2 linked regions of the Alligator mississippiensis genome follow. The protein of the gene in region 1 purifies or fractionates together with the protein of each later gene. This does not show direct contact. Links are inferred from orthologs where the notes say so. Each region holds a gene or a part of one and is shown on either strand. Other genes may lie near its edges. The genes, in order: RPTOR and MLST8.

What was found.
Region 2: the proteins of RPTOR (region 1) and MLST8 purify together in Homo sapiens (affinity purification with western blotting; 15 studies listed by BioGRID and IntAct, with this or other methods). This does not show direct contact. The link is inferred for Alligator mississippiensis from reciprocal best matches to the Homo sapiens genes RPTOR and MLST8.

What each region holds. Positions count from the first base shown.
Region 1 is NC_081831.1:1,242,937-1,258,610, forward strand, and holds the start of RPTOR (regulatory-associated protein of mTOR), read left to right. Parts: upstream 1-8,859; 5' UTR 8,860-9,148; coding exon 9,149-9,310; intron 9,311-15,674. UniProt on the Homo sapiens protein: Component of the mechanistic target of rapamycin complex 1 (mTORC1), an evolutionarily conserved central nutrient sensor that stimulates anabolic reactions and macromolecule biosynthesis to promote cellular biomass generation and growth.
Region 2 is NC_081836.1:57,907,834-57,923,686, reverse strand, and holds the start of MLST8 (target of rapamycin complex subunit LST8), read right to left. Parts: upstream 6,685-15,853; coding exon 6,556-6,684; intron 6,522-6,555; exon of another isoform or gene 5,080-6,521; intron 4,298-5,079; exon of another isoform or gene 4,257-4,297; coding exon 4,205-4,256; intron 3,827-4,204; coding exon 3,664-3,826; intron 3,142-3,663; coding exon 3,066-3,141; intron 1,029-3,065; coding exon 876-1,028; intron 677-875; coding exon 552-676; intron 65-551; coding exon 1-64. Other genes in the region: hexosaminidase D, read left to right, coding at 14,702-14,796, 15,347-15,584, 15,729-15,838.

The sequences.
Region 1 (15,674 bases):
TGGCATTGAATAGTGATGCTATAAACAATGGGTTGTAACAACTCTGAATGAGCTGGGCAGAAGGAAGAGGCTGATGGAGAGGGAGGTTTTTGTGTGCGCCCACCTCTTGGCAGTGGGCAAGCGTGGCGAATGAAGGAAGGGAACGTGGGCGTTACTCTGGATTTGCTTCAAAACCCATGCCAAAAGGAGAGTTTCTGGAGGATGAACCTCAACATGACATGCCCTGCTTGATGCCTCCTGGCACACGCTGTTCCCTTTTCAGGAGGAGGCTTTCCCAGCATCTGTCTCTCCAGGAACAGACTTGCCAAACCAAGATGCGGCATTGCAAAAGGTGAAGCTGGAGTGAAACACATGACTCAGACATGACTCTCCCCTCATGTGGAACTGGAGGAACAAAGCGCTGCGTGTGTGGGTGAGAGGGTGGGTGCACATGTGCATTCGCATGTGTGCATGGCAGGACTACTCGGGCCAGCAGCGTCATACAACTCAAAGGGAAAAGATCAGCACAAAGGCAGGCTGATGTGGGAGGGCAGTAAGCAAACAGTGGCCGAAGAACCGCTGAGTACTGCAGTAGCTGGAGTACCTCCCCATGACGATCATGATAGCTGCTTCAGTGCTGAAAGGTATGAGTGAATGTGCTTTCAACGGTAGGACTTTGAGTCAGATTTTCAAAGAACTTAACATAACTGACACTCCAAACTGAACAGAAGTGTAATTCCCATTGTTAAGCAGACTTCTTGTTTCCTTGGCAATGGGGGCTGGGGTGGGGCAGGGGGACGGGACGTGAGCACTTATGGACAAGAGATTGCAGCTGGAAAGGCTGGTGCATTTGGTCTCCCCCAACTTGGCATAAATAAAATGTTTTCCCTGCCCCCCGCTACCTTTTGTCTGTATTTCCATAGCTGGCATTGCTGATCTCTGAGGCCTTGACGCACTTTCCACTGAAGCCAGTGAGAATTTTTCCACTGTCTTTGATGGAAATTAGAACAGGACATACATTTCTGATGCATTGGCGGCATATATATAATATGCCGCTAATGCATCATTTATATATATATTTATATTTATTTATTTAATTTATATTTATATATATATAAATTTCTGATGCATTAGCGGCATATATATATATATATATATATATATATATATATATATATATATATGCCGCTAATGCATCAGAAATTTATATATATATATATATATATATATATATATATATATATACACATATGTATATTTATATATACACACACACACACATGCGCACACAGAGTGTGTGTACGTATGTGTGTGTGTGTGTATCTATCTATCTATCTATCTATCTATCTATCTATCTATCTATCTATCTATCTATCTATCGGTATATATAAAACCAGCCCTGTTCTGCGTCACTCCCACTCTGGAGTTTGTAATATTGCCCTGGCAATGAATAGTGGTATCTCAGATGTGGACTGAACCTAGAAATGCTCAGAGAGCTCGCAACCACTGGCCTGAAGAAGGTTTTCACTATCAGAGAGCCGAGGCTACGGGGACCGAGTGCTTGACCATCCTGTGTTTGAGTAAATCAAATTGCTTTCATGTCAGCCACAATCTGTGAAATCAGGCATTCAGATGAAGACAGGGCCCTGCTGGCCTACAGCACGTGTGCCTTAGAAAGGGTGACTTGGCCACCTCGGCAAGGAGGACTGGCAGAGTAAAGACGCACACACACACACACACACACACATTATTTCAGCTTTGATGTTTACCAGATTTGGTCTGTTCACGAATCCCCAGTCATCAGTTTGCTCCGAGTAAATGCTCTGCCCTTTTCATCAGGCATAAAAGATAACAGGTATTCAGCACTGTGATTATGCCATCCCAGCCAGGTCTAGGGAACCATCATAACCTTGGCGGCACGCCTGCTACTGAGGCTATTGGTGCCCTGAGTATTTCTCCACTCAAACTAGCTACTGCGTCCTGAATTGCACTGGCACAAAGACCAATGTAGGAGGCAGCATGTCTCCTGTAAGCTGGACTGTCCGTGACTCGCCTTGCTTTGGGGTATAGGCACATCTTTATTATGTCCTCTCTGCCCCCAGCCCACTCCTAGCAGAGGCTACCTTTGTAGGAGGTATTACGTGGTGGGGTTGATTATGGATGATTTAGGGCCTTTATGGCTGTCAGAGGAGCCTCAAAGAGCCTGACAGTACCAAGGATTTCGCTCGGCCTCAGAAGCAGCTGAAGTTACTCATAACGTGGTTCTGCTTCAACACTCAGTGCCTACCACGAACCAGAAATCAGCAGGTCTACCCAGGGCCTAATCCTGACACCCTAAACAAGCCAAGCTAGGAGGATTTAGACAGGGTAGCTACGAGGGAACTGATGGGGAAGAATCTTCCTCCCCAAGCTGGAAAGAGGATCTGAGGCTTCCTCTGGTCAACCTACATCCAGATACGTCTCAGCACAGGAAGGGAAGTAGCAGGCAGAAACCCGACGCTCTCCTCATAAGCACCTAGCTCTGCAGTGCACGTAAACCTGCCGGCAACACCTGGTTTCCGGGTTGCCCGTATGATTCCTGCTGCTTGCACTCTCCTATGGGGTTGTCACACCAGGCCTGCCTCTCTGTGGGATTGTTCATTTCCAGCAGCACAAAGCAAATGCTAAATCACAACCGATCCTTGCGTGGCACAGGAGAAAGTGATTGCACAGGTGGGAAGGCCTTCTCCCAGCCAGTTACTCTAAAGCAGAGTGTTCAACCTTTTGGTTTAACTTGTATTTTCCCCCGCATGGCCTGGGGCTGTTAGACTGGCACAGTGAGAGAGATGAAATACCTTGGCTGGACTCCATGCTGCCTTAGACCTGGAATAGCAGGAGAGGCAAACAATAGCAAGAAAAGATGCAATTAGCCTTAAGATGCTTTGGCAGAGCAGTGTGGACCTGGACTTGGACTGCCAAGTGGAGAGCTTCAGGTCAAGACTGAGCTCCACTGGCCAAGAAGTGCTACCAAGGGAGACTGCAGGTCATGACTAGCAGAGCTGTGTGAAAGGTGTCTGCTGACAGCCTGCCTTCACGGCGTCTGTCCCTTGTCTGGGAAGTCAGGTCCTTTGTTCAGCTGCATTTTGAGGTTATTTCTTCAAAGAACAGCAACCCGGGGTTGCATACTGATCTCTGGTATTTTCTTGTCAGTTCATTTGTCTTGGCTTTCTTGCGATGCCCTGGCTTGCTGAAGGAAATCCAGCTCTCACACTCCTGGGGACAGAATGGGCATATTTATCTCTAAGTCTTACACATCCCCCATATGTACAGGTAATTACTCCTGAGAATTTACTCTAAGTAGGATTTATGTTTCCACAGATGTGGTGTATAAACAAGGGGACAGACATTAGGTTTGCAGGGAAGAGCATTGCTAACACATGGTTGCACCATATGCTGAGTATGGATTTAAGAGACCGGAGTTTTATTAAAACGGGATATTTTGAATGTCTACTGTCAGGTTGTGGAGCAATGCTGACATGCTGCAGGCACTGCTTATTGTGCTCTGTAGCACATGACCCAGTTCCACTGCAGAGCAAAGCTGCAGGAGAACATTTGAGAACAACGGGGACGCATCCAACAGGCAGAAGCACCCATCAGGTTGCCAGGGACTGATCTGAGCTGCTTTTTCCTGTTGCACATTTGACAGCAAGTGGAGGCTGAAGGAAAAGCTGTAGAGACGGGTGTGTGTACCACATTTGCTTGCATATGTATGTATTTATAGGCTATTCTCCTAGCCTCTTCACCCTCATACATGTCTCACAAACACTAATGCATTTACCATCACAGTGAAGTGGGGAAGTGGGACTCTCCCCCATTTTAGACACCAGGAGCAGGCATGTGAAACGTGAACCGTGCATGTATGCAGACACCACTTGGACAGATGATTATCCAGGAGTGGGCGTTCATGGAGGAATGAAGTAGAAAAGGTGAATGTTGCTGTTATAACTGGGGAAAAAGACGTGCTACTGTTTGACAGTGACAATTTGAAGGTATTGTTTGAAAGTCATAGACACAGGCTCACGGAAGAGGTGCTTTAAAATTACCATTATTGGGGAACCTTTAAAATGGCCTGTCCCTGTAGTGAATCCATTTATATTCTCCAGTGTGGAGTGTAGCCAGAGGAAAGGATGCTTTCATGCTGCGTGGAGGGAACAGACGGAAGTATGACAGGCAGTCAGCCCGCAGGCCATGAACAGGTTTGATTTCAACACCAGTGACATTGTTAGCACCTGACAAATAATTGGCTGAGCCTGTGAGATGTGTACACTTGCCTCGATGGCATTCCTCCCTGTTGTTTGGATATTTGTCTTCTGTACAAAAGGCAGCAAGTCTGGAGTGATGCAAGTGATCGCATCCAAAATGTCAAGGGATAGTCTGAGCATTGAACAGCCCTGCTAATTGTTCTGGGGAAAACTGGCAAACCCAAAAGAGGGGAAAGGAGACACAGAGATCCTGGCATCTGCTTAGCACATCCACCGCTTCAAGCACCTCTGCAATTGTACATAGATCAAAGAAATGGCTGATGGCACCAATTAGTGCCTTCCAGCAGAAAAACACCTCTAGCTTAGCTCTGATCACCTCCTATGACAACACCTGCGTGTCTTATCTCCTAAAAAACAGAAGAGGTAAACAATAATGGTGGGGAAATGGGGAGGAGAAGGGAGGCATTCCCTGGCTGGTTGGGGAGGAGGGGGACACTGGCATGGACGGGAGACGGGAAGGGTCCCTGGCATGCGGGGACAGTTGGAGGGCTGTAGTGAGTCCCTGAAGAGGAGGGCGTTGTGAGGGTGACGCACCGAGGGCTTGAGAAAGGAGGGGTCCATGGAGCCCCTGCCATGCACAAGCTGCTCAGGCTGCAGAGAAAAGTATGTGGATCCTGGTAAACCATCATTTCTTTTAAGATCCTGGTGTGGCAGAGGTGCCAGAGGGGCCTCCCTGCACGCTCCCTGCCCCTCTGGCAGTTGTGCTCTTTGGAGGCCAGCTTTCCCTGCACGAATGGGAGCAGATGACAAGAGCTCTCCGCAGAGTCATTGACTTTGGGATATGCTCCCCGAGCAGGCTGTCAGGATTTCGGATTATTAACCTTCAGGGCACAGTGCGCAGCCCATCTGTTCATTCAGGCTTTTTGCCTGAGGTGGATTAGTTGTGCTGGGTGCTCTAGTTGTGATTTTTCAGGTACCGTCTTGAGACGGTTACCCTACTGCCTGCAATTGTATTATGACGGAAGGTAATCTGGCCGCACTGGGTTCTGATTTAAATGACAATAAAAATGCAAACATAACGTTTCATCGTGCCCTGACAATTAATTAGTCTTTCAATTGCATCATGACCACAAACCAGCATTAAATAGTCATAAACAAATGAATGAACTCAGAAAGCCAATTAATCAAAGCAATAAATCTCCCCCTTTAAATACCCCAGGGACCTAGGTTTTTTAGGGAATGTTTTTGTTCCAGCCAGTTGAGGGCAAGATGATGTTTCATCTTTTAAAAATTGTATTTGATGACTGCAAATGCACTTGGAATTGTAGGCAAAGTGCATATGGCTTCATATATCAAATTATGCAGATGGATACAACTCAGATGTAAACCTGGGTGCGCTTTGATTGAATTGCCACCCGGGGAAAACACTCCGATAATCAGGGCTGAATAGCCCCATTCTTTATTCTGAGTTTTGAGTATAGTCAAGCTGATGATGAAGGAACAGTTTTGAAACTCTCCACCTGGTTTTCCTCTCATATTTACTGGTGTAAATCATGAGGAACTCTGCTGAAGTCAGTGGGCCACTGGCTCCGTTCCCCTGCACTTTGTGCAATCATTTGCATTGGTGCAAAGTGAACGTAACAGGTGCAAAATGCTGTCAGATCAGATTCATGTCGTGTGCATTCTTGCTGCAGTGGTGTAGGGCAAAGGAGAATGGGGCCTGACAGGGGGATGCTGGTGTGAAACTAGTTAAGGCCAGTGACTTGAAATTATGGGTTTAACTTTTAAAACTCGCTTTAAGGTAAAGATCATCAGGAATATCTGGTGGGAGGGCAGCTGGTCAGGAAGGTTTGGTCTGCTGTGGGATTAGTGCCTAGGCAAGACTCAAGTAAATCATGTGCTGCCTTTGTGTTTGCTCCCAGGGCCCCCATGGCAATCATCGAGCCTGTGTACTCTGTGTTCCAAGGAAGCAATATCACGGGAGGAATGAGGAGGGCATTGCATCAAACAGCTGCTGCCAAAGAGGCTCAGACTGAAAATGCATCTTGGCGGGACAATGACCAGGAGTGACTTAAAGGCCCTGTGAGCTGACAGCCGGTTTATCAGTTTGGCAGATTTATTAGAATTTCTGTAGTTTCTGTTTCTTTCCCTCACACCCGTCCTGAGAACAAAGGAGACCTCAAGGTCTTACTCTTTCCTTCCACAGCCCAAGACACGATCGTAGGCTTGCCTTCTTTTGCGCGTTCAGCTGTTTCATTATGTTATTTTTTGCATTGTGCATTGCAGAAGCCTGGATCATATGAATGTATTCCAACCCAGTCAACCATCTCAGGAGCAATATTAATGCATGAGCTTAAATCTGAGTGTTGTAAATCTAAACTACACTTCAAAATGCACCTTGCTCCCGCTCAAAGGAGTGCGTTTAGGGAGCAAACCCGCTCTTTTTGATGCACAGCTTATAAAAAAGCAATGCTTTAAAAAGTCCCTCATTTCTACAATTGCAGGGACCTTCTGGTTTCATCACAAAAATCCAGTCTTGTGGTGGGAATCCTTCTGGACTCTGCATTTGGAGAATACTTTGTCCCATGGGAATAAGCATTGCCATGATGAATCCCAGCTACACACCTCCAAAATACCGTTTGTATCTGAGAAACTGATCATTTCCCCTTGACTAAATATAAAGCAAATTCCGTGTCAGAGAACTTGAAGTGCTACTGGTCCTTGGCTCCAGGCTCCACTGCCCACCCCACGAGCATGTGCCGTGTGTTTTCCTGACACAATTCAAAAAACAAGGATTCATTCCTGTTAGCATTGTGTTTCAGACACATGGGCCCAAATAGTGTAAATCAGTGCAACATCCATGGAAGGAGCTGTACCTATTCACATGAGTGGTGGATAGGGCCTTTACACATAGCAATAGGATCCCTAGTATTGCTGCTTTCTCTTTCCTGAACAGTGTGGAATTAAGCTCCTCAGCCAGACGTAGCTGGTCACACTAATACTCTTCTCAAAGCTGTGCTGACATCAAAGACCTTGGTGCTCAAAGATGATTTGGTAGATGAGGGATTGTGCATTAGAAGTAAACAATTTAGAACAAAATGAATGCAGCAGCCATGACATGCTTTGTGTCTAGCCAAAATGAGGAAGGGAAAATCCCCGGTGTTTTCAAACAAAAAAGGACAACATTGGTAAGAAAGAAAGTGAACATGTTTGAGTAGAAACATAACAAATGGATACTGATTAAAAGCTGTTTAAAAATTATTTCAGTCTGTGTGTGTGTGTGTGTGTGTGTGTGTGTGTGTGTGTTTTATTGAGTCTTGTTCACCTTTTCTTGTTCACCTATATCTACTGGTCCTGGTTTCTAGAGCTGTAACTTCAGTGGGGCTGGGACTGTCTTTTTCTTCTGTATCTGTACAGTGCCTGGCACAGAGGATGTCTGGTTCCTGACTGGTTTCCCAAGCCGGTCGCTCCTGCCAGTCAAATGATGACTGACGATAACAAATATTGTGAGTTTATCCTCGCCAGCCAGGCCAATGAGCCATCCAAGGGAGAGTCCCCTCTTTAAAGCGTTGGCTAGACTAGTAGCTGCTGCATGACATTTGCATTTAAACCCACCATTATAAAGGACTGTACTCGCTTTATTACATGGATAAAATGTACCCCTCTGCCAGAGGCCACTCAGTCCTGCTGCAGCCTTTGAGCTTCGTGGGAGGTGCGGAGTCCATGAACAGACTCGACGGCTGGCGGGTCAGGAAAGCTGTCTTCACGCAAGCAGCACCAGAGATGTGCACGGCTATTACTCCCTCCAAATTACACCAGATCATCGTAGCCTCCCGGGGGGACAGCTGCTCGCTCTCGACTGCCTTCAGAGGCTGGCATAAAAACACTGACTCGTGGGGAAGGCTGACTTGGGGAAACTGAGGCTGTGTAAAAAGCAGAACAGCGACTGCGCCACCAGCCCCAGCACCTTTCTTCTCTTCCTGCCGCATGAGACAGCGCTGTGCCCGGTTCTCAAATGGGGCGCTCGTGTCGAAGCACTGCTGGCTGGGGACGCATAGCGGGCTTCAAGCGGGGGGAAGTCTGTATTTGAAGGCCTATTGCAATGGCTCCAGTGTTGCCAACTCTCAGGCTTTTTGGTGTTGTTCTTAAAGTCTACGCTTCAGGAATGTGAAAAACTTAGCTTTCTTTTATATATATATATAAAGAAAGATAAGTTTTTATATATATAAGAAAGTTTTATATATAAAAACTTAGCTCTTTCATATATATATATACACATACATATGTGTGTGTATCTATCTATCTATCTATCTATCTATCTATCTATCTATCTATCTATCTATCTATCTACACATGCCAGAAAGTATATATACACACACACACATATCTATCTATCTATCTAGATGTGTATATGTATAAAAGAGATAAGTTTATGTATATAAGAAAAGTTTGTCTATCTCGAAACTTGTGTCCCCGCCGGCCCGGCCGAGCCCGCTGGTGCTGTTGAGCCCTGGGCTGCTAGAAGGGCGGTGGAGGGGAAGGATGCTCCGGTCGCCATGGCAACTGCGGTCCTCTCCTCCCTGCCTGGCCCGAACGCGGCGTGTCCCGCGCGCCGGCCCGTAGCCGCGCTGCATGCCGGGCCTTCCCAAGATGGCCGCCCCCGTGTCGTGCTGCTGAGGGGAGTTTCGCCGCCCGGCGCCGCAGGACAACTCCCCCCGCGTGTCGCGTCGCAGCAGGGGGCTGGGGCCGCCATGGGCCGAGCCCGGCAGCTGGCCGGCAGCGCGCGGGCCCCGCGGGGCTAGAGGCGGCGGCGGGAGGCCCCGCTCGGAGCCGGGGCCCGACCAGGCCTCAGCGCCCCTCCGGGAGCATCCCCACCCCCCCGGCCTGCCCGCCCCACGGTGGAGGAAGGGCCCGGCTCGTGGCCCCCGATGGAGCCCGAGATGCTGCAGTCGCCTCTGCTGGGGCTGGGCGAGGAGGACGAGTCCGACCTGACGGACTGGAACTTGCCCCTGGCCTTCATGAAGAAGCGGCACTGCGAGAAGATCGAGGGCTCCAAGTCCCTGGCGCAGAGCTGGAGGATGAAGGACAGGGTAATGAGGGGCTGGGGCAGGTGGGAGAGGGCGCAGGGGTGTCTCGGCCCGTCTCGCCTCGCCTCGCCCGCGTGCCGGCACCCGTGGGAGCGTCTCTGCGCCGCAGCCACGAAACACGGGTGCTGACAGCCGGCGCGCTGAGCGCGGGCGCCTCTGCCCCCGGGGCCGCAGCGACGCAGCAGAGGGGTGCGAGCACACGGCTGCACGTGGCTTCTTCCTTACGGGGGAAACGGGGGTGTTCCCGCGCAGCCCGGCGAGGGGCTGCCTGGGCACCTTCTGCCCCCCCCACACTCACCCCTGCCCCCCACATGCACAGCCCTGCCCCCCAATACCCCTGCTCCCCACACACACACCCTTGCCCCCCCACCCCCTGCCCCCCCACATGCACACCCCTGAGCCCCCCATACCCCTGCTCCCTACCCACACCCACCTCCTGCCCCCCCACATGCACAGCCCTGCCCCCCAATACCCCTGCTTCCCACACACCCTCCCCCTGCCCCCCCACACACCCACCCCCTGCCCCCCCACATGCACACCCCTGAGCCCCCCATACCCCTGCTCCCTACCCACACCCACCCCCTGCCCCCCCACATGCACACCCCTGTCCCCCATACCCCTGCTTCCCACACACCCTCCCCCTGCCCCCCCACACACCCTCCCCCTGCCCCCCCACATGCACGCCCCTGCCCCCCACACACCCTGCCCCCCCACATGCACACTCCTGCCCCCAACACACACCCACCCTCTTCCCCCACACGCACACCCCTGTCTCCCACCCACCCCCTGCCTCCCACACTGGGTGGAGGGCACCGCGGTGCAAGGCCAGGGGGCTGCTTTCTACTTACATGATTTATAGTGGTGCACTGATAGAGATTTTGGGAGCTGATACCGATAGCTGATTTTTAAGGAGGCGTATCGGCTCGTACCGATCCGCTTTCCGATGTGCTTGGAGAGCTGCGTGCAGCTGGTAAGTCTGTCTCAGTGCACGTCTAATTATTTGCCCATCCATGTGTACAGATGGGTCCTGGTACAAAAAAGGTCGTGAACCATGGTTTTAAACAGTGCCTACGAAAGCAGCGCTTTTGTTAGGAAGGAATTTAAATTAGTAAGGTCCTAAATTAGTAAGGTCCTTGAAATGGAGCTCTCCAGGTCCCTGGGTTTCTGGTGTGGGCAGAGTGCGCAATAAACGCAGGCTTTCTGTTTTGTGAAGTTATCCAGTGGCTGATAGGTGCGTGGAAGGCTTTACTCTCTTTCCAGTATGGTCCAGGGAATATGGACAGTGTATTCTTCCCAGAGTAATACGAGCTGAGTGTTTAAAAGGTGGAAAATGAACTGTTAGATTCTCAAGCACTTTCACTTGTCGGGGCAGATCATATTCTCTTGGCTGAATCCACTAAGCATAGTACCAGGTATTACACTGATGTTTCTCTAGCTTGTATTGGGTAACATCGCAGTTAGCAGGAAACCTCTGGGATGTGATTTCTGGTATCTCAACTTTTCTGGTTAAATGTTAAGCCATCAAAGGTCAGGATGCCTTGGAAGGGAAAATATGAACCTGATGTACTGATAGCCCCTTCTGTGATCTGTAGACTTCCTGAGGTCTTGTAGGCATGCTGCCCTTTCCTGTGGGTGAGCAGTGGCTGTCTCTCCCAATCCACAACCATCTGAGGAATTAAAAAAAAAAAAAAAAAGCAAAAATTGCTGAATGAATATTATAATCTTACAAAACGTACTGTAGGCCATTCTGATGTAGATAAAAGTAAAAAGACCTTTTGTTTCCTAATTTCTTTGGTGCTCAGATAATCCATTTGTGGTGTCCTTCTTCGTAATAATCTTCTCCAAATGTCCTTTCTCATACACTGATTTCTTTGTGGTGTTTAGCTGACTTATTTTTTACTCCTGTGCGTCATGTGAATGTCTGGGGTCTGATGGAGATTGGGGTCTTATTGCCTCTGCCTTAGAGATTACAATGGACAAGGTGGACAGTGGGTAGCAAAAATGGAGATAATGTTCAAATAGAATAGATGCTAAAATGGTGGCAAACATCACATTAGTGTGATAATATTTTTGGATGGGGTGAGTAGTAGCTGGAAGGGAGAGAAGTAGAGAGAGAGAAAGAGAAGGACGTAAGAGGTAGATGTCAAGTGAGGCTAAGGGAGGGTCCTAAGTAGTAGCATAAGTGAGAGAGAAGAGGAATAGGTTATCCTGGGTCTCCGTTGAACATGCTTCTGCAGCAGCTCTGTCTCTCTGTGTTTGGCTCTTTGCTGCAGGTTCTTTCCCAGAGGCCAAATAGTTGGGGATGAAGCAGCTCTATATAAAGTTCAAATGCAGACTTGGAGAAGGGATGGTCCCAGCTGAAGCTGGTCTCATCCCCTCCCTTTCCCATCTCTTGCTCCCCACAACGGTTGACAATTCCAGGTGCAACAGTCCTTAAGCTGGACTTGCAGCTGCCCTTTTGTGCTTGTTAAACACTGCATTATACTTTTAAGTATGTGGGTGTTAACATCATGTCCTGCTTCAACTTTGATTTATACTGTATTGTGTATTCAAATCAAGAATAAGAAGATCTTTCTAGTTTTAACTACATATACAATTATTTATTCCTTGCCTTAAATTGTTGCTTTCTGTTGTTGTACACTGTTGAATATTTGTAATGTTTCATCGTGGAATTGACTTCTTCAGCAGTAGATAAACATTTATATACAGATTAATAAAAGACGTGAAGCACTTTGGGATGGAAGACACTGTCTGAATGCAGGGTTGTAATGCATGTCATTCAGCAGTGCTTCTACGTTTCTCTTTTTGTCCCTTCACAGTATCTGATGAAGGAAGCTCTCTGCTTATGAAAGCTTATGCTATATGTCTCATTTCAGTTAGTCTGTAAAGGTGCAAATCTACTCTACCTGCTGCCTCTCTTTCTAACATTCATTTTTAAATAAGGAGTCTAATTGTCCCAAGTTAGCTATCTAAATAAAGAAGATTAAAAACTTTTACAGTCAAGGATTAATGCTGCTAAATTTTACAGAATGAGCGTGAGCTCTCAGATGCTAACTAAATGGTCTACTTATTTGGGCTTCTCGTGGGAGAGCAGGGTTACTGCTATTTTTTTTTCTGATCTCTCCTCTTATTCCCACTTATCTTTAAAGTCTTTATGCAAAAAAGATTTTTCAATCAAAGGAAAATGGATTTCCCTCATTTTCCAAACCAGATAGTCTGGAATTCACATTTTTATATGGCTCTGAGAAAGGCAGACAACTTTTTTGTGGCTTCTGCCTTTCTGGCCTTGATGCCCAGCATGGTACTTGTTTCCACTTCCTGAGATGAAGCAGCCAAAACAGGACATTTACTTGCATGCAGGGCTGATTCTTAGAAAACCCTTCCTTTCATCCCTTTCTTTTAAAAGCTGCTTGGATATTTTCATGGTGGAATGCTTCTTACACAGGTGTTGGATAGTTGGAATATCAGACATAGGAGCCTCTTGTGACACTGAGTCTAGTTCCCTGCCTTGGCAGGCAACCACATCACATAATCCTGTGTATAAATTAACCAGGTTCCATCTTATAAGTGGTTAGGTTCTGGAGCAGCCTTCCAGTAGGAGTATTTTGGGAAGAAAGACCAGTTTAGTGACTTTTTCATTTCCAGTCTAAGTTTATTTGTGGCCACGTTACCCTGACTTATTTTTTGTTGTTAACATCCTTTAGCTTAAACGTTTCATTTTCCTCTCAGATTTTGACCCCCTAAATATATTTATCTAGAGCAATCCTTTACCTTCTTAGCCTTTTTCCCTCCTTTAAACAGTGCTGTCCTTGCACAGTGTTCATACGTGTGCTCAATAATTGTGTCCTTTGCCAAACTTACCAGTGCATCTTTATGGAGAGGCGTTCTCAGTATGCCAGGTATGAATGACGTAAGCCTTTTTTGCATTCCAAAGTGCAAATCCAGATGATAGACATACAAAAAAGTAGAACTCTTGGTTCCAAAATGATACCTTTTATTAGACCAACTGGAAAATGCCAAGAAAACTGTCTTTTTCTGCAAGCTTTCGGGATCAAAGTCCCTTCATCAGGCTCTGACAAAGGGACTTTGATCCTGAAAGCTTGCAGAAAAGGACAATTTTCTTGCCATTTTCTACTTGGTCTAATAAAAGGTATCATTTTGGAACCAAGAGTTCTACTTTTTTGTATGTCTTTTTGTCTCAGACCAACACGGCTACCAAGTCCATCCAAATGATAAGCACTATCATGCAAGTTCCTGCCAGGTGCTGGGAGCTGAAATTGTTCAAAGGCATAAATACAAGACAAAAGGTATACATAGCAAGTATGAAAGTAAGCTGTGTTCATTAGGGGGATGTGATTACTGTTATAAGGCCTGAATCTTAAATTTGTTTTAGCAAAACAAAACTATTGAAAGCCCCCCAATTCCAAACAATCTTATCAGTTCTCCACAGAGGGTGCATCTTAGGCAAATTTCACATGTGTGGCGGGAGCAGGGCTTGTCACCGCTGGTTTGTCATTAACTGAATTCCTGAATGTGTAGGTTGTTCTTGTCAGTCAGCTGTGCCTGTCTCCTTGATTCCTGTGTGCAGGCAAGTTAAGAAAACGCCATGAATCCTGACCTCCTGCAACCCCTGCAGGCAAGACTCCTGAGAAAACTGGGAAAAGTGGGGCATAATGGCTTGCCTGCCCCTGTAAACCAGAACACGCAGCTAGTATGTCTAAATCTGTGTCTACCAATATTGTCATGTGCTCTCTAATGAAAGACACTCTGTAACATTTAACAGCAGAAGTCTAGTGGGGCAGTTCCAAGTTATGAAATTAAAGTAATTGCTAATCTAGAAGGGGGAAAGGAGACTAAAGATATTATTCAGTGTAGAACATATTTTTTATTTTGTGACATTTCATATTTGTACAAGCAGTTTGTAAAATAAAGTGATGGAGATATTTTTAGTTTAAGGTTTGATGGCTTAGGAGTGACAGTTTCTGCTCCATTTCACCTTCTTGGTGGTAAGGTAGCACATAAACAAGAGACTGAACGGCAGTGGGAACTGATCGGTTTTGCAGTAGAAGCTCTTTCCAAATACCAGTTCTTGCGTTTCAGCAGCGCATTTTGTAAGAAGCTCATACTACCTCTGTCTGTGCTATTCCAGGCCTGTGGTTGAACGAAAAGACTTTGGGTTCTGATGCTGTCAACTGAGTACCTCCCATGAGCCTTAAAATGAAGAATCTGTAAAAATGGACCAAAAAAGACTACAGGAAATTACTGCATGCACATGTCCATTTGGAAAAGGTTATTGACTTCCTGATGAAGGCAGAAGTCTGTAGTTCTTATGTAATTAAGAGTGAAAAGATCATTGAAATGTGAGCATTTACAAAGTGATGTTTGTGCAAAGAGCCTCTGAAAAGTCAAGTGCATTAGTTAACGGTTCATCACCACCTGCCAAACCTTTCAAGAAGCTTTGGAAATATTTTTTATTTGAGTTTTTTCTCCTTGGTTAATTCAAACTGTTTAACACATCTACTTCTGTGTTTAGCAGCAACAACTATGTGAACATTTTGTCTTACCAAAACATTTGTGCACAAGTATCCTCTCTGAGAACAATGTAATGCTGGAAGTGGAATATGTCAATTAATTGTTGAAGGAACACTCAGTATTTGATTTTCAGATTGATGGATAACAAGTTACTGTTCTCAAAGCCAGAAGTCTCATTGTTCTGCCAGACCAAGTTTTCACCTAATAATGAAATAGACATTGAGGCTTCAAGATCAGAACCATTGTTAAATCTGGCAGAGAATGCAGTCTTGTGTATCTTGACAGAGGAGACAGTCCCTTTTGTACTGAACTAAGGGCATGAGGATCCTACACCTCTCTCTTGTTAAATTCACGTTGGCTGGGGTTCTTTGGAGCTTTGAGCTGACCTTCTTTCTTGGTCTACAGGGCTGGATTGCCTTGACCTAGGGGTGAAACCAGTCCGATTGAGTCATCCAAAACCCATTCTCTTCAACTTACAGGTTGTGCACAAATGAGAGTGGCTGCAAATACAGGTCTTTCTACCTTATAAATAGGACCACCTCTTATCAAAATGGAAGGCGTGGTTTTAATAACTATCGAAAAATAGTTGATTAATCTTTAAGGGTCAGATTCCATCATCCTTCCTCTCCTGGAATGGCCCTGTCTTCTTCCCTAATGATCCTCAGTGATATAGATAGAGCTTTTCATGGGGAAGGTTGTAACTCATGCACCAGCATGGCAATAACCAAGCCTGGGTAAACTTACCTCCAGAACATTAATCGATCTCTATGTCTCTGTGTTTCTGTGGAAGAGAGGAGCAGATTTTGAATTCTCAGTTTAAGTAGCTGGTTTTCTG
Region 2 (15,853 bases), on another chromosome or scaffold:
TAGTGAGAAATTGGAAGTCCTCCAGATCTTACAGGTCTGGTCTGCAGAGCACGTAGCTAAGAGCCTGGAGGGAAGCGATGTAGGAGCGTGGTCAGGATTCATTTCCTTGCTACCATGGGATGCTCCCCGCGGTGGCTCTGGAAACGTGACACACACTGTGGGGCCCAGAAAGAGACAGCAAAGTTGGCCAGGAGCCGCAGACCCCCCAGGCTAGCCCCCATGCTGGAGGAGAAGGGCTACTATTTGCCCCACCTCTTGTGAAGCACAGGGCTGAGAAAAGGACAGGCCAGGTTTATGGGCTCAGAGCAGTCAATGCATTGCTCCTCAGCCTACGTGCTACCCATGCCGAACTCGCGAAGCAACAACCGGGCACTAGGCGAGAGGCCAGACTGATCGCTCAGCTGCTGCCTTCTCCGCTTCCTGCTGCTGGGAGGAGGAAACGAAGCCAGAGCTGCATCAGCAGCTGGGGGCCCCGTCGGTCTCCTGAGACCCGGTCTGAAAGGCCGGCTTTGTTCAAGGCTGGGGCAGAGCAGCGAGCTGGCAGCACTCACGTGGAGTCGGGGCTGAACTTGCACTGGAGAGCGTAGCGGTTGTGTGCCGGGATCTTGGTCTTAGGGATGAGCTGAGTCACCTCCTCCCCAATGCCACCGGTTAAATTCCAGACGTAGCAGTTCCCCTGCAGACAGAGAGGAGCTGGCTGCTAGGCTGGACCGCAAGGGGCACGAGGGACGCAGGCACCAGCCACAAGCACCCCCTCCCGCCCCAGCGTGCAGCAAGCTCTGTGCAACGGCCGTGCCGAGAAGCCTGCGACAGGATGAACGGCAGAACTGCTGCAGCCCTGGCTACTCCTCTCCTAGGGCTCCAGTCGGACTCACTGAACTGTTGACAGCCGCCATGTAACTGGCGTCAGGGTCGATGTGAACCGAATTGACAGAAACTTCTGGCTCAGGAATCAGCTGCTCGTTGTGGTCTGTTTTCAGGTCCCAGATGTGAATAGCACCGCTCTGATCCCCGACGATTAGCTCAGCCTGCAAAGCACCAAGTCACAATTTGCAATTAGGAAACAGAAAAGGCGGTGCAGAGAGTGCCTGCACCTAAGTGCATCCAGTGCAGCCATCGGTCTGGCCCAGATGTGCCTGTTCTGCCCAGACAGTCGTCAGGACGACGGCACTTTGCAGCGTGGTAAGAATGTGCAAGCAGCTGCAGATCCAATCTAAATAAGCCTTATCCCCATTTTACAGACAGGGAAACTGAACCAGGGAGGCATTTTCAGAAGTGTACACTAAGTTTCTGGGCCCAGCTCCAGAACGCTTGAGCCCAATTTCCAGAGTTGTCCAGCAGCTGTGACTACAGCTGAGACCCACCAAAGCCAGCCACGCTTGGCACCCCTGAAAACCCAGCAATGGAAGCTTTCTAACTCAATGGATCCTTCTGGCATTTATGGCCTACGTGACTTTCTCAGTCAGGGCGCAGATCCAACCAAGAGCCGCAGCTGGAATTTAGGAGCCTGGGCTCCCAGTCATGTGCTCAGACCACTACACAACACTGTCTCTCTTCATTAAGACTGTGGCTGTTATCAGTGGTGTGCACCAGCAATATTGCTGTTAATGTGATGTGCTGCACTGCACTGGACCATGGATCAGTCTTGTCCTGTGCCCACCAGTGAGTAACAGCCTGCCTTGGAGAAAGAGGACCACTGCCCAAAACATACCCAAGTCCAGTGTGTAGGGCAGAGGTCCCTCCCTGGCCACCTGCAATGCTGATTGCACCCTGAATCCTGAGAGGGGGCTGCCCCCTCCTAGTACATGTAGACACAGCTGCAGAAGAGGTCACTGCACTTATAACGACCCCTGGCAGTACTTGACAGCAGCTGTGAGCTGCTCAGGCTGACGACACCCCGCACAGGTATCCCCAACTCAGTCCGATTCACTCCAGAATAAAGGCCGTAACACGGCAGTGTCTGCTTGGCCACGTTCTCAAATGCAAAACTCCTGCACGTAGCTGACACCGATACATGCAGCCTTCCTGATGTGCCGACACCGCACAACTGTTAGCGCTAATGAGGCAAAGGTCATGTCTGATCTAAAGTAAAACATGGGTCTTCCAAAATTAAAGCGCTCATGAGGCCTAAAGCCAAAGGAGCATTTCCACAGCTTGTCCTCTTAAAAGAGGAACAGCTTGTTTTGCAAGACGCATCAATCCTTCGCTGCACTGTTTGCAGCCCAGATGCTGCAGCGCTGGGCTGGCACGTAAGGATGTGAAAGCAACAAGTGAGCTGTGCGACAGAAGGGAAGCCGAAGGGACGATTTTCACTGAGCTGAGCAAAAGACAACACCAATTCCGTTTTCCCTTATTATAGGAATTAGGGGCACTTAGTCCAATAGTAACAGGAATTAAAGCACACTGCAGCATGTGCAACTTAAACATTTCTGCTACAAGAAACAGGGACTGATCTGTAGATCTGTTTATGCCGCTCTGTCCTCGAAAGAATCCAGGGGCAATCCTGTTTTAAGACTGAAAAGGGAAACTATATTCTCAGTTCCTTTTTCTTCTATCCTCCCGCCCAAGGGAGGTTTTGCATTCGCAAGCAGAGTGGGAGGGAACGCACTTCCACGGAGCAGGTCCCAAGGTCTCAGTTCAACCTAAGTCAACAGGCAGATACTCTCACGGGACCCAGAGGCAAGGCGCTCAGGTAATAAATGACAGAATCACACACAGTGATACCATCTAGTGCTTGGAGCAGCACCGAGCAATCACGAGTTTCCATCACCCGCCCGTACTCAAGGGTACCCTTCTCTGCACGGATTCAGGGGGTTTTCTCAGCTGCCGGATATAGGAAACTCTTTCAATTTTGACCAACTTCCGTGTCTGGTACTTAATGCCGAGACAGGAGCTCAAGCCTAGCAAGTTCAAGTCTTGTCAGAGTGGAAAACAAGTCCATTTAGAAAAAACAATGTTCTGCAATGACTGCCAGTCATGTAGCCCGTCAGGTTTCTAGTCGGGAGACGCAGAACATCTGTAGCAGCCTCCCCGAGCCTAGCAAGCGCAGAACAGTGTGCGTTTACCTGGTTAGGGTGCAAGCAGACACAATTAATAGGAGCATTCACTTGGAAAATACGTTGGCACTGAAGGTTACGTGACCTGCAACAGAATGAACACAAACGAGAAGAGTCAGAGAAGCGGCTGCAATGAGATCTCCTGCTTCCCTCGGGCCTGTACCAGCTCCCTGCCGCCCCTGCAGGTGCTGAAGAGGGCTTGCTCACTGCATGCAAGGGCGCTGGGCTGGAGGTGAAGCCTGCCCGCCCCACCTGCAACTTCCAAAGGGGTTGGAGGGAGGCAGAAGGCCATCACCCAAACCAGCCAGGACCCCTGGGCTACACCAGAAGTGCCAGGGAATAGTTTAACATCACAAATGGACAGGACCTGGCTTTTCCTGCTTATCCACATGACACCGGCCAGCAGCCTCTGAGCACCAGAAGCGGTGCAATACTGATTCAGAGGAAAGACACTGAACCCCTCGTTCTGAGTGGCCCCCCTGGAGGTCTCCCAGCTGGGTACTGCCCCGTGGCTGCCGGCTACGGTCACGGCTCAGAGGGCTTACGGAGACAGGAGATGCGTCCCAGGAGGGAACCCCCATGGAGCAGTGCCGGCCCCAGCGGGTACCTCAGGTCCCATATCCTGGCCATGCAGTCCTCGCCTCCCGTGTACATCCAGCGGCCATCTTCGTGAAACCCAACGGAGGTGATGTTCTTGCTTACGCCATCGTAATTAATGACTGGGTTGGGGTTGTTCGAGTTCAGGTCGTACATCCGAATGTGCTGGTAACCTGGAAGCCAGAATGACAATGAGCGAGCACCCAGATGCACGTGGCAGGTGTCAGACACTCCGGCCAAAGCCCCCTCTGCGAAGGGCCACCCGACCTCGGTAGAAGGCAGGCTGTCCCCACATCACCCTGCCCAGCAGGGTCTGTGGGTCCCAGAGCAGACGCACGCCTCGTAGGGGCTCCAGGGAGGTGAGTCCCGGAGAGCCACACATGAGCAGTAACTGCACGTCCGAGCATGTAGCCGGGGGCACCACAGCTGGATCGCATGCACGAGGGCGAAGTCACCACACACCAGTTGGAAACCAATGCCAGAAACCACCAAACACTCCTCTCCTCCCCGCGTGCCCCCGACTAGGGTATGGGAATGTGGGCAGGGCTCACCTGCAGCAGCAATCATGCTGCGGTCCGGGGTGATCTCCAGAGCATTCACTTGCTAGAGGTGCTGGTTAAGGTTGACAGAGCAAGCAAGTACCTCTGCAGCAGGAGAAAGCATTCCCTTGAATTCACCCTGCCTGGAGAAAACTCAGCCTAGCGGGGGCTTCTCACTGGGCATCCTTTCTTTGGGAACAATCTCGACTGGAAAGGGAAGCTCGGCGCACCACCACATGCCCGACGTTTCACGCCAAAGAGCACATCTGATGACTCCAACACGGCAAGACACGTCGGCCTGCTCTGTCCGCCCCACAGAGGCCTGGCCCGATTCCAGCTCTACGCACTTTCCCCTCCAACACCATCCGCTGACGGCTCCTCTCTACCTTTGCCACCCGCGTCTCCTCAAACTCTGAAGTTTAGCTAAGCCGTGATGGCGCTGTTGCAAGGAAAATGTCTAACCACGGAGAGATCTTTGCTTTGCCCCACGCCCCGGTCAGAGGGCCTGAAGGTACGAGGCTCTAGAAGGACCCTCAGAAGAGACGACAGATGCAGGGCATTGCTGGGCCTGCTTCCCGATGCAGGAAGAGCAGCTCTGGCTCACTGACCGTGTGTGCACGCGGCGGGGGCAACGAATCTGCACTCTCTCACCCACTCCTTTCCCAGACACTGTTCACTCCAGCTTTTCTTTCCTCACTCTTGTCCTCTGACTCCTGCCCCTATTTATTTTCCCTTCTCTTGGGCTTTTATTGGAGCAGAAAACCAGTCTGTGTGGTGTCTGCTCATTCCCTGCCCAGCCACCAACTTAACCCATGACCGAACCAAAAGGCTCTACTCTAACCGGTGACATGGGCCGAGGGACCGCCCCGAAGTCATTCTTGTCTCACCTGCAGAATATCACTGAGGAAGACCATCCCTCCGGGAGCTGAGTGATGCTCGGGGTGGAGGATCCACCAGTAAGCTGTTCCACCGGTGAGTCCTTCAAAGACTTCTGCCTCGTTTCTAGCCTTCGTTCCTCTAGCTCCAAATCCAGCCTCCGGATCCTGTTCGACCTTGGTCTGCCCACCCAAGAGGTGCCTCTCAGCGACCCTGTTCCTTCCCTTGAAGCTCAACAGGCAGCAGTTTCTTGCTCACGGGTGTGTCCCCAACCCCTTAGTCACTCTCACAGCCCATCTTTTCACCTTCCCAACCCATTCACAGCCTCCTTGGGCCGCAGACACCAGAACAGGACGCAGGGGCTGCACCCGTGTGTGGTACAGGGGGAAAGGAGCCTCCTCCCCGCCAGCCTGACGTCAAGCTGGCCATGTCGAACAGCGAGCATCCCGTCTGTATCCAGTTCACCAACAATCCTGATCGCCCCGTACCACGGCCTGTCCGCTTTGTTATTCACCATTCCCCTCACTTCGGGGATTATCTTCAAACTACTGCAAGAGGCTGTCAGGATTTTGCACTAATCTAGGAAAACCAGAGTCTGAGGCAATGTCATGGCATGGTCAGGAGAGGGCAAAACACCCCACCTTTGGACAAGTCCTACAAAACCCCTTTTTCCACCCCTCTTTACTGGGCACACGCGCAGAGGTAGGACGGGGTTTTTCCTTTTTATTTGACCCACCAAACTAACTCAGACTCAGTTGTGGTCCATACTTCCGCCGTCTCCTCCAATTTGGCATCATCAGGCCCGTTTCCTGACATGCTACAAATGTCACACACACAATATAAAGACACGACTCAATCGCTGCTACCGTCGCAGCTTTTGGGAGGTTTCAGCTGCTGACGAGAGCCCGGATCGAAGCTCAGACCAAGAGTCTGATCTGTGCGTTACAGCTGAGCCAAGCTAGGGGGTCTCGCCCCTCCGCTCGGAGTCAGACCGGCGCCGCATTGGGGTCAGGGAGGAACTCTGCCCCCCGGTCAGATTGCTACGGATGGGAGAGGGGGGCTTTCTTCCCCTGTAGCAGGGGCTGTGGCCTCTATTTGGGATTTCTGGAGCAGCTATTAAAACCTTGCGCAGAAGCAGGACGTTGGCTGCAGCGGTCCCCCTGCTATATGGATGGCATGTTAGGGTGCGATATGTTGTGTTGGGGTGGGGGTGTGTAGCTTTGCCAGGAGGCTGGACGATGGATCGGTCTGGGATGGTTTGCACAGGGCTGATCCTGCCTCAGGCAGCAGGTTGGACTAGAGGTGACCTCTGCAGGTCCCTGCCAGCCCCACCGGACTTTGGGTCCTGGCAATCCCTTCTATGCTCTCAGGACAGGCTACGCGGGAAGCGAAACCAACGCCAGGGCTCTCCGGCCCTACCAGAGCCCATGACCCGTCGGAGGCGCCAGGGCTGGAGGCCCCGTGCCGTGCAGGCGCGAGAAGGATACAGAGTCCTGGTGCTGGACGGTGCGGGTGCAGATCCCGCTGTGCGCCTGCCAGAACCGCACCGTGTGGTCATAGCCGGCGGTCGCCAGGATCACGGGGTCGCTGCCCACGGTGCCCTGCGCGGTGTTCATGGCGGAGGCCTGAGGGGGGGTTGGAAAGAAGGTCACTGGTGCGGATCCCAGCAGTGCCCCAGCTCAACAGAGGTGGACACCACAGCCCCCACCCAGGGCACACGCGGTGAGCATCTCCCCCCGCCCCCATCACTCCTGCACAGGGGTGCCAGGCACACCTGCGCACGAGCCCTGGCCTACCCCAGGCAGCAGGTCACCCAGGTAGACCTCAGTGCTCCGGACCCCCCTATTGCAACTGCCCCACCCTTCTACTGCAACCCCCCATTGCAACAGCCCCAGCCCCTATTGCAACCCCCATATTGCAACAGCCCCCCATTGCAACCCCTCACTGCCACTGCAACAGCCCCTGCCCCCTATTGCAACCGCCCCATTGCAACCCCGCCATTGCAACAGCCCCCCATTGCAACCCCTCACTGCCACTGCAACAGCCCCTGCCCCCTATTGCAACCGCCCCATTGCAACCCCGCCATTGCAACAGCCCCAGCCCCTATTGCAACCCCCATATTGCAACAGCCCCCCATTGCAACCCCTCACTGCCACTGCAACAGCCCCTGCCCCCTATTGCAACCGCCCCATTGCAACCCCGCCATTGCAACAGCCCCCCATTGCAACCCCTCACTGCCACTGCAACAGCCCCTGCCCCCTATTGCAACCGCCCCATTGCAACCCCGCCATTGCAACAGCCCCAGCCCCTATTGCAACCCCCATATTGCAACAGCCCCCCATTGCAACCCCTCACTGCCACTGCAACAGCCCCTGCCCCCTATTGCAACCCCGCCATTGCAACAGCCCCAGCCCCCTATTGCACCCCCTATATTGCAACAACCCCCCCACTGCAACAACCCCACCCCCTATTGCAACAGCCCCCTTATTGCACCGCCCCGCCCCCACACTGCACGAGTCTCGGGGCCACAGGCCGCGCGGGGTGGGGGGGAGGGGCACCCCCCTTTACCTGCGGACACACGAGGGCGGAGATGGAGCACCGTCGCGCATGCGCAGAGCACGCCCCAGGGCCATCCAGCGACGAGGCGCATGCGCAGAAACAGGGTGCCTGTCTGGGGCGGGACACGAGCGCGTCCAGCAAGCGCGTGCGTATGTGCAAGGTGCCCGGCCCTGTCCCCGGCGCGGGAGGGAGCGCGCATGCGCGGAGTCTCGGGCGCGACCAAGCGGTGCCGAAGCGCGGGGGGGAGGAGTGGGTGCCGCGTTGCAGCCCCGAGCATCCCCAGGAAGGGGCGCTGCTGCTCGCGGGGTGTGCAGCGCCGTGCACCGCGCCCGGGGCAGCAGCTGGCAGGGGTGGCCCAGGCCTGGGTGCTGGGGCCCTGGGCACCCTCTGGGGCTGGGATCCAGGCAAGCATGGGGGCTGCTGCCCAGGGCAGCCATGCCCAGCCTGGGGGCACAGCCCATACCTGGCCCCATCTGCACCAGCTGGGGGCGCTGCCTGGGGGTCGCCCATGACCTTTGCCCCCTGCTGGAAGCCCCTGGGCAGGGTGCTGCATGCATGCTGCAGCCCTGGCGCGCCGGGCGCGTGCACCGCTGTTGCTGGCAGCCCCGACGTGGGCCGCGGAGAGCTCGCCGGGCACCGGCTCCAAGCCCCGCAGAGCAAAGCCCAGGCGTCCTAAACGCCAGGTTGAGCCGCGAGTCGAGAAGATGCCGCACGGCGGATGCCGGGACACGGGCGTCGTTTGTCGCAGGACATTTTCCCCTCCATCTCTGCTAACAGCATCCCCCCGCAGAGCCGGCCGGCCGTTTACACCGGTTTTGATCCAAGGCCGCAATTAGGAGCTTGCAGCCTTTCGGTCCGAGCCGCGGGTGCACCCAGGATATGCGGTTTGATGCCCTCCAAATGGGCGCCGGTAAAGGGATGCGTGTGGTCCGGTTGCTGCACGGTGCTGGACCGTCAGGGCTGGCTCGGGTCCCCCTCCTTCCCTCCCTCGCGCGTCTCCGGCCTCGTCTCCGCGTTTTCCTTCGCGCACAGGTATCGCTGTTGAGATTCAGAGCACGCTTCCCGAAGGGAACAACCGCCCGGTGGTGCAGACAGTGTTATGATGAACGGCTTTCCCCTGGAATCGGAGAGGCTTTATTGCGAGTTGGGCCAAGTCCCCATGGGAAGCGTTCATTTCTCTCCAGGAAAATATCGTTCTGTCGAGAGTTTGGTGGCGCCAGCGGCGCTCGGAGCATCTCCGCCGAGCCCCGGCGAGGCAGGGAGTGCGGCACGGATGCAAAATTAAAGCGATCTGTCACTAAACTCGCACCTCTTTGATAACAGGCTGCTGCACTAGGCCTAGGAGGGTTTGCTGGAGGCGGTGGCGCGCTGCAGGCATGTTTCCACACGTGTGTTTCCCCGCTTCTGCTTCGCCTTGGCCCATGCTCCGTTTGGGGCTGGCTCCACGGGGCTGGGCTGGGCTGGGTTGGGTGGGAAGCACCTCTCCACTTCGAACGTGTGCGGGTTCAAGCATGGTGGCGGTTTGCAAGCAGGCATAGGACGGCTGGTCCGCGGATTCGGGACGCCCCTCTCCAGTTCCCGGCGGCACCCCCAAACTCTGGTGGGACCATGAGCAGCCGCCGCGCCCTTCTGCGATGCCACCGCCAGAGCAGGGGGGCTGCAAAGATCAGTGCACCCGGGGTGCAAGGTGCTGCAGCCCTGGAGGGACCGGGCAGGGCTTTGCTAGAGCAGGCATCCCTGCCCAAAGCTGTGCGTGCAGAAGAGATGGGCACTGCAGCCCCCTGCCCAGGTGTGAGTGATGCCCGGGGCAGCCCTGCAGGGAGCTGTCGCCGGCCCCTCCTGCGCTGCAGCCCGGCCCTGATCCCGATCCGGGTCCCTTTAAGAGTGGGGCTGGGCGGCTCCGTGCGCCCGGCTGCGGGGCGATGCCACCGGCTCCGGCTGCTCCGCGCGTGCTCCCTGCCGCCAGCCCGGCCCGGCTGCACCTGCCAGGTAGGGGCAGGCGGAGCCCCCCGGGGCCGGGGGCGCTGCTGCCCCGGCTAGTCCTGGTGCCAGCCCTGCCACGGGGCTGGGGCCAGGCTGCCCGGCGCTGCAGGAGGCTCTGGGGGTGCAGGGGCTGGGGAGGAGGAGGAGAAGGAAGAGGGAGGGGAGGAAGGTCTCCCCCCAGAGCAGTGGGAGGCAGCTGGGCTGAGCTGCCCCTTGTGCCAGGGAGCCCTTCCCTTGCTGCTCTCTCCATCCGCGCGGGTCCCCGCGCCCTTGCCCGCGCTGGCGGACGGTGTCCGGTGCGTCCTCAGCCCTTCCAGGGGCGCACGTGCCTCCCCTTGCCTTGGAGCAAGGTTGCGGGCTAGATAGAGCCCCTGTGCCAGTGCTTCGTACCCCAGGCTGCACTTCTCTTGGGGAGGGGGATGCGTGGCAAAGCCGTGGATCTGCATGAGCACCAATGCCCAAGCTCCCTGGCAAAGCCCTGCACCTGTGTGAGCATCAGCCCCCAAGCTCCCCGGCAGCGTGAGCCGCTCTCTGGGCAGCCCTGGGAGAAGTCCAGCCTACCGCTGTCCTGGCCGGGGGGAAGTGGCTGCGCCCGGGGCTGCCGTCTGCAGCAGGCTGTCCGTGTCCGGACAGCGCAGGGCTGCCTGCGAAGGGAGGAGCTGGGAGCAATGCTGTGTCCTCTGACTGCTGATCCAGATCCAGCTCTGGCGTGCAAGGATGGGCAGCTCTGGTGCAGCCTGAGCCACAGCAAGGAGGCTCTGAGCCCGGCCTCCCTGCTCCTGAGCATCCTGGCCGCAGGGCCTGCCCAGTTCATAAAGACCCCCGTCCTCCGCACGCTCCCATCCAGCAAGGGCATCGGCGAGGTCTCGCCTCGCGAGTCACCCCTGATACCCCGGCGTCTCCATCGGTGAGCACGTTCCCTGGGCCGAGCTCGGGCGGGAGGGCTGGTGCTGACCTGCTCGAGGCTTGTTTTTAAATGTGGCTGAGCTTTGCTCCCCTCCTGCCCCGAAGGGAGACCCCTTGTCCTGCTTTCCAGCTGGAGCCTGTTCACGGCCAGAGCCCCACGTGTCCTGGTGCCGGCAGCATCCCTGGGCTGCCCCAGCTCCTCACCTCCTCTCTGCCCTCCACCATCCCCTTTTCCCTGAGCTGAGCGCGCCTTTCCTGGGCACGGTTGGAGTGAATGGTCCGCAGCGTCCAGGCAGGGTCTCGCCAGGGCCTCGTGCGATGGCACCGCCACTGCCCTGGCTGTCGAGGAGATGCGCTGCCGTGCAGCGTGGCTCTCCCACCCCGGCACACCCAGACCCTCCTCCTCCTCGGTGGTTTCCAGCTGGCGAGCTCCCAGCCCGTTGCACTTATTGCTGCTGGGTTGCTCCTGTTTCTGCGGCCGCGGCCCTCAAGGTCGCCCAGGTCTGGGCTGCTGTCCCGCCACGTGGGGTCACAGATTTCGGCAGCGCCTCGTGCCCAGGTCCTGAATGCAAATGTTGAATCAGACGGAGCTGGGAGGAACTCCCCTGCTCTTGGCTTCCCTTTTGGTGCCCTGCTTGCCCTCCCAGCTCTTGATTAATCATTTCCCCAGTGGCGCCCCATCACATGCTTTGCCCAAGCCCGGATAAACGAGATCACCTTTCCTCTGCCCGGAGCGCCGGCTCTCGGGGGACGTATCGGGTTCGTCTGGCTCCGTCTGCCCCCGTGACGCTCCTTGCCCTGTCTCTCACCATCCTTCCCTGGATGGTTAGTTGGAAGGCGCTGTGCCCTGCTCGCCCTTGGTCTTGTCTGTCCTGCAGCCTGTGGAGAAGGGAGCCGGGGGGAGGTGTGTACGTGCACAATACCAAGCGTCACGGGGCCCCAGGCTCAGCTGGCAGCCCTCGGTGCTACTGTGCGACACCTGGTTAATGGGCGCAGCGGATCCGTGTGCCAGGAGTGGTGTCGAGGCCACTAGGCTTAATTAAAGCTGCCTGGAGGACATCCCTCTTGACGACGACGCTTGGCGACGGCGAAACACGGAGAGAGGCCTGTGAACGGGCGCAGAGCGAACGTCTGGTATTGGCATCCCTGAACCTGGCAGCTTCCCCCGGCTTCTCGCGACGCGCAGGGGTCCGGGGTCGTGCAGGTGGCTGCATCCGGCTTGGCGCTCCAGGGTGGCCCGGCTCCAAGGAGCGCCCTGACGGCAGCTCCCGGGGTAAATCCACCCTCGCTGCACAACAAGGACTTGTGCAAAGGAGGAGACTCGATGACGGCCACGTGCACCCAGGGCCCCTGACTTCCTCCTGGGTGTGTAGCTGTGCGGGGGCCCTGGGGGGTGCAGGGCCAAAGGACGGTGGGTTTTCCTGCAAGCTTCTGCTTTGGGTCTGGCACAAATCCAGGATGCTTCTAGGTCGTGCCACCGCCGTTCTGCCACAGCTCGGGGGCCGCTGTGCGGACGTTGCCCTGATGGGCAGCCTGCGAATGCTGCTGTGCCCTGACGGGACTTCCCTGCAGGGCTGTGTCCGCGGCTTCCCGAAGCCAAGAACAAAGGGCTCTTCTGCTTCAGCATCCTCTGGAGGATGCACGGCTGCGTGCGGCACAGCTCAGGCTCTTCCCCGCCTCTCTGTGCGCGCAGCAGTTTTCCGGATGCTTTCTTGCTTTCGGTTTCGAGGTTGCCTACATGCTGATGAGGGCCCCGTCCCTCCCAGGCATGCCGCAGACCTGGCCTGATGACAGGGACGGGGGGAGCTGTGCTTGTGCACGTGTGTGTGTGCAGTGTAGTGCGTGCAGGAGTGTAAGCGCTTTCTCCCTTCCTCCCCTGCTGAAGTCGCTTCGATCTATTTAAGAGAGCGAGCGCCGCTGGTCAGGTGCGGCCGGGCCGGTGGCTCGCTCTGCGGGCAGCAGGGACAAGCCGAGTGGGTTTGCTTGCCCACTGGCCCGGGCGACCGTCTGGTGCATGTCGTGATCCCCTGGACGCGGCGACGCAGTGAGTGCCGGGGGGTGTTTCTGTCCCCGGGGGCAAGGGGGTTGGGTTGGCCCTGGGTGCTGGACCTAGTGGAGACAGGATTTCTGCAGCAACCGCTGTAGCCCTGCCATGACCAAGTGCTGTGACTCAGCGAGGCTTGCCGTGTCCCCAGAGGCACCTTCTGCAGGGCCGGATCCTGCTGGGACTGCCCGCAGAGCAGGTCCGAGACTTCCGGAGCTGGGGAGGGTTCAATTCCCTCTGCCACAGATTTGGGCTGAGCCTCTCCTCCCTCCTCCCAGCTGGCCCTCTCTGCTAGAGCCAGTTGCCAGGGGTGCGGCCTCGCTGGGCACACACGCTCACACCCAAATTGTCAATTAATGCTGCAACACTTCAGTGCTATGGGGCATAGTCGTGCTCCCAGCCTGCAGGAAGTTTTATCCGCCTTGTCCCCCTTGGCATTGTTTGTCTTGTTGCAAATGCGGCAAGGAGGCAGCGGGCCCGCAAGGTTGCAGGAAGAAAGAACCGGGCAGCCAGCAGTGCCAGGTGCTACCAGGGCGAGCTGTGCTGGTGCCTCCAGGGTGAACGAGGGCCGGGGATTCTTCCAGCGCGGCCCACGGGGACTCGGACACCTGGGTCCTTATTCCTGCCTCTGCCCCTGTCCTCATGACTTGGAACGAGGCCTGATTATGTGTGTGTGTGCATGCACAGAGGCTTGTGTGTGTGCATGCATGCACAGAGGTGCACATGTACAGAGGCATGCATGTGTGTGCATGCACAGAGGTGCGTGCACATGTATGGGTGCATGCATGCATGCACAGAGGCGTGCGTGCATGCACAGTGGTACACGCGTGTGTGCATGCACAGAGGCATGCGTGCATGCACGGTGGTACACGCGTGTGTGCATGCACAGAGGTGTGCGTGCATGCATGGTACACACGTGCGTGCATGCACAGAGGCATGCGTGCATGCACGGTGGTACACGCGTGTGTGCGTGCATGCATGCACACAGCCCTGATTTCAGCTGGGGGCTCCGGGCACAACTTCAAGAGTCCAGTAAAGCGGTGTGTGTCCCACCCATGCTGCAGCCGCCCCTCCCGGGGTACTGCACGCCCTTGCTGTGTGAACAAGGCAGCGTTGTACAAATACCTGAGCTGCGCCCATTCTCCCCGCTCCCTCTCCAGTCAGCGCCGTGGGTATCTCCAGGGCGCACCTGACCCAGCGTGGGCAGGAAGTCGCACAGCTCAGGTGCTTGGTTGGTGATAAGGCAGTTGCTGGATCCCTGGCTGCAAAGGCTGTTGCTGCCACGGGGGTTGGTGGTGGGAGGCCGGCAGACAGCCCCGCACGGCTCTTGCTACCCAGGTGCTTCGTGAGCCCCAGGTGGGTGCTCGGGCTCTGCAAATCGGGGGCATTTCATGAAGGCCGAGGGCTCAGGAGAAGCAGCAAAGAGGGGAGCCTTGAGGGGGTGGGGAGGGGGTTTGCTTTTGCACACTCACGCTCCGGGGATCTGGTGCACGGTCTGGAGGCCCGACCCGTCCCCGTGGCACACAGAGCTGGACGGCTTGAGGGCATCCTGCTCTGGAAGCCACTCCTGCGGGGTAGGGAAAGAGCAGACGTGGGGGCAGGTCCAGAGCTGCGGCCCCCAGCACCCGGCGGTGTCCGTTGTCCTCGGTCCGGGCCCGCAGCCGGAGTGGGTGCAGCATGGCCGAGCCCTCTCACTGTCCCCCTTCCTGTCTTCCAGGGGCTCCCTCCCGTGCCAGCCCAGCTGTTCCCTCCATGGGGAGTGCTGGTCCAAAGGTCTCCGTGCCAGGCATCTGCTCTGTAAACCTGCCCTGACATTGCCAGCGCCAGACCAGGTAGGAGCTGCCCAGGTGAGGCTGGGGCAGTGCATTAGCACACAGCCCAGTTGTGGGGTGGAGGGCAAGTCCCTGCACTGCCCAGACTGGGGGGGACCCAGGTCAGGCATCCTCCCACGGATGCAGGGGGAGAGGGGAGGTGCTGGCCCAGGTGCCTGAAGGGGAAGGGTCCGAGCCTGGGTCTGCTGTGTGGAAGTGGGGGCTGTGGGCTTGCAGGGGTGCTGCCTTGCTCCCCTGGGGTGGGAGAAGCCACCCCCTGGCCTAGCCGTGCCCCCGGCTCAGCCCTTCCCTGCCCGCTCGCCCGCAGCGATGTCCTTCAAGCGCAGCCAGAAGCTGCACCTGCTGCGCCTCACCGTGCTGCTCGTGGTGGTCCTGGCCGGCATCAAGTTCCTCTTCCGAGACAGGTGAGGTGGGGCTGGCGTGGCGCGGATGCTCGGTCCGGGGTCCCAGGCAGCTCCTGATCTGCAGGTGGAAGCTGCCCCCATCCCCATCTCCAGCGGTGCCCACCCCTGGAGCCTCAGCTACTGCCGGGGGTGGGAGCAGGGTGCACTGCCCCGACGAGGAGGGAGCAGCAAGGTGGACTTTACCTCCAGCCGAGGGCTCTGAGCTGGAGGTAGTCTCCTGCCCCCCTGGTTTCCGCTCGAGCGCATGGTTTCCCGGGCCGGCTACACGGAGACGGGCCCCTGCCTTGCTCTGGACTAGCCAGAAGCAGCAGCAGCCGTTTCGGGGGAGAGGGTCCCCGGTTTCATGGGTGTCAGTGACTGCAGGAGCTAGGAACATGGTTGAGCCTACGGTCCCGTCTGTCCCAGAGCTGACCCAGGTAGATTTCCCTCGTTAGCCCCTCTCTTCTGGCCTGGGAGAGCTCACGAGGGAGGCTGGCGTGGGGCTCGTAAAGGGGCCGGTGCCCCCAAGAGCAGGCCCTGACGGGCGTGGGCATCTCTTGTGCGTGTGCAGTTTCACCCTGGAGCTGCACAAGCACATCAGCAAAGACAGCGACTTCTGGGGCAAGGGCGGGGATGTCCTCCCGGAGCCCGACCCCCGCAGCCAGCCCCTGGACCCGGAGGCCGACCAGATCGCGGGGCCCAAGCAAGATGCCAGGAAGCAGCTCTCCAAGGACTTCAGCGCCACCGAGATGAGGCTGGTGCACCTGGACCTGAAGGGCGCTGCCCCCAAGGTGTCCTACCTGGAGCAGGTGAGCGGGCTCTGAACTGCATGGAGCCGAGGCGGTCTTGGGAAGTGCCAGGCGGGCTCTGGTCCTGAGCTGCTAGGTGGAGGGCACCCTTGGGCACCCCGCTCCATCCATCCGCTGCAGCTCTGGCCATGGCTGTCCCCATAGTTGTTCCCGCTGCTGTCCAGGCTGGGTGCCAATGGGGTCCTGATCGAGTACGAGGACATGTTCCCCTTCAAGGGCGAGCTCGGGGTGCTGCGGGCTCCCTACTCCTACAGGTGAGGCCGGTGGGA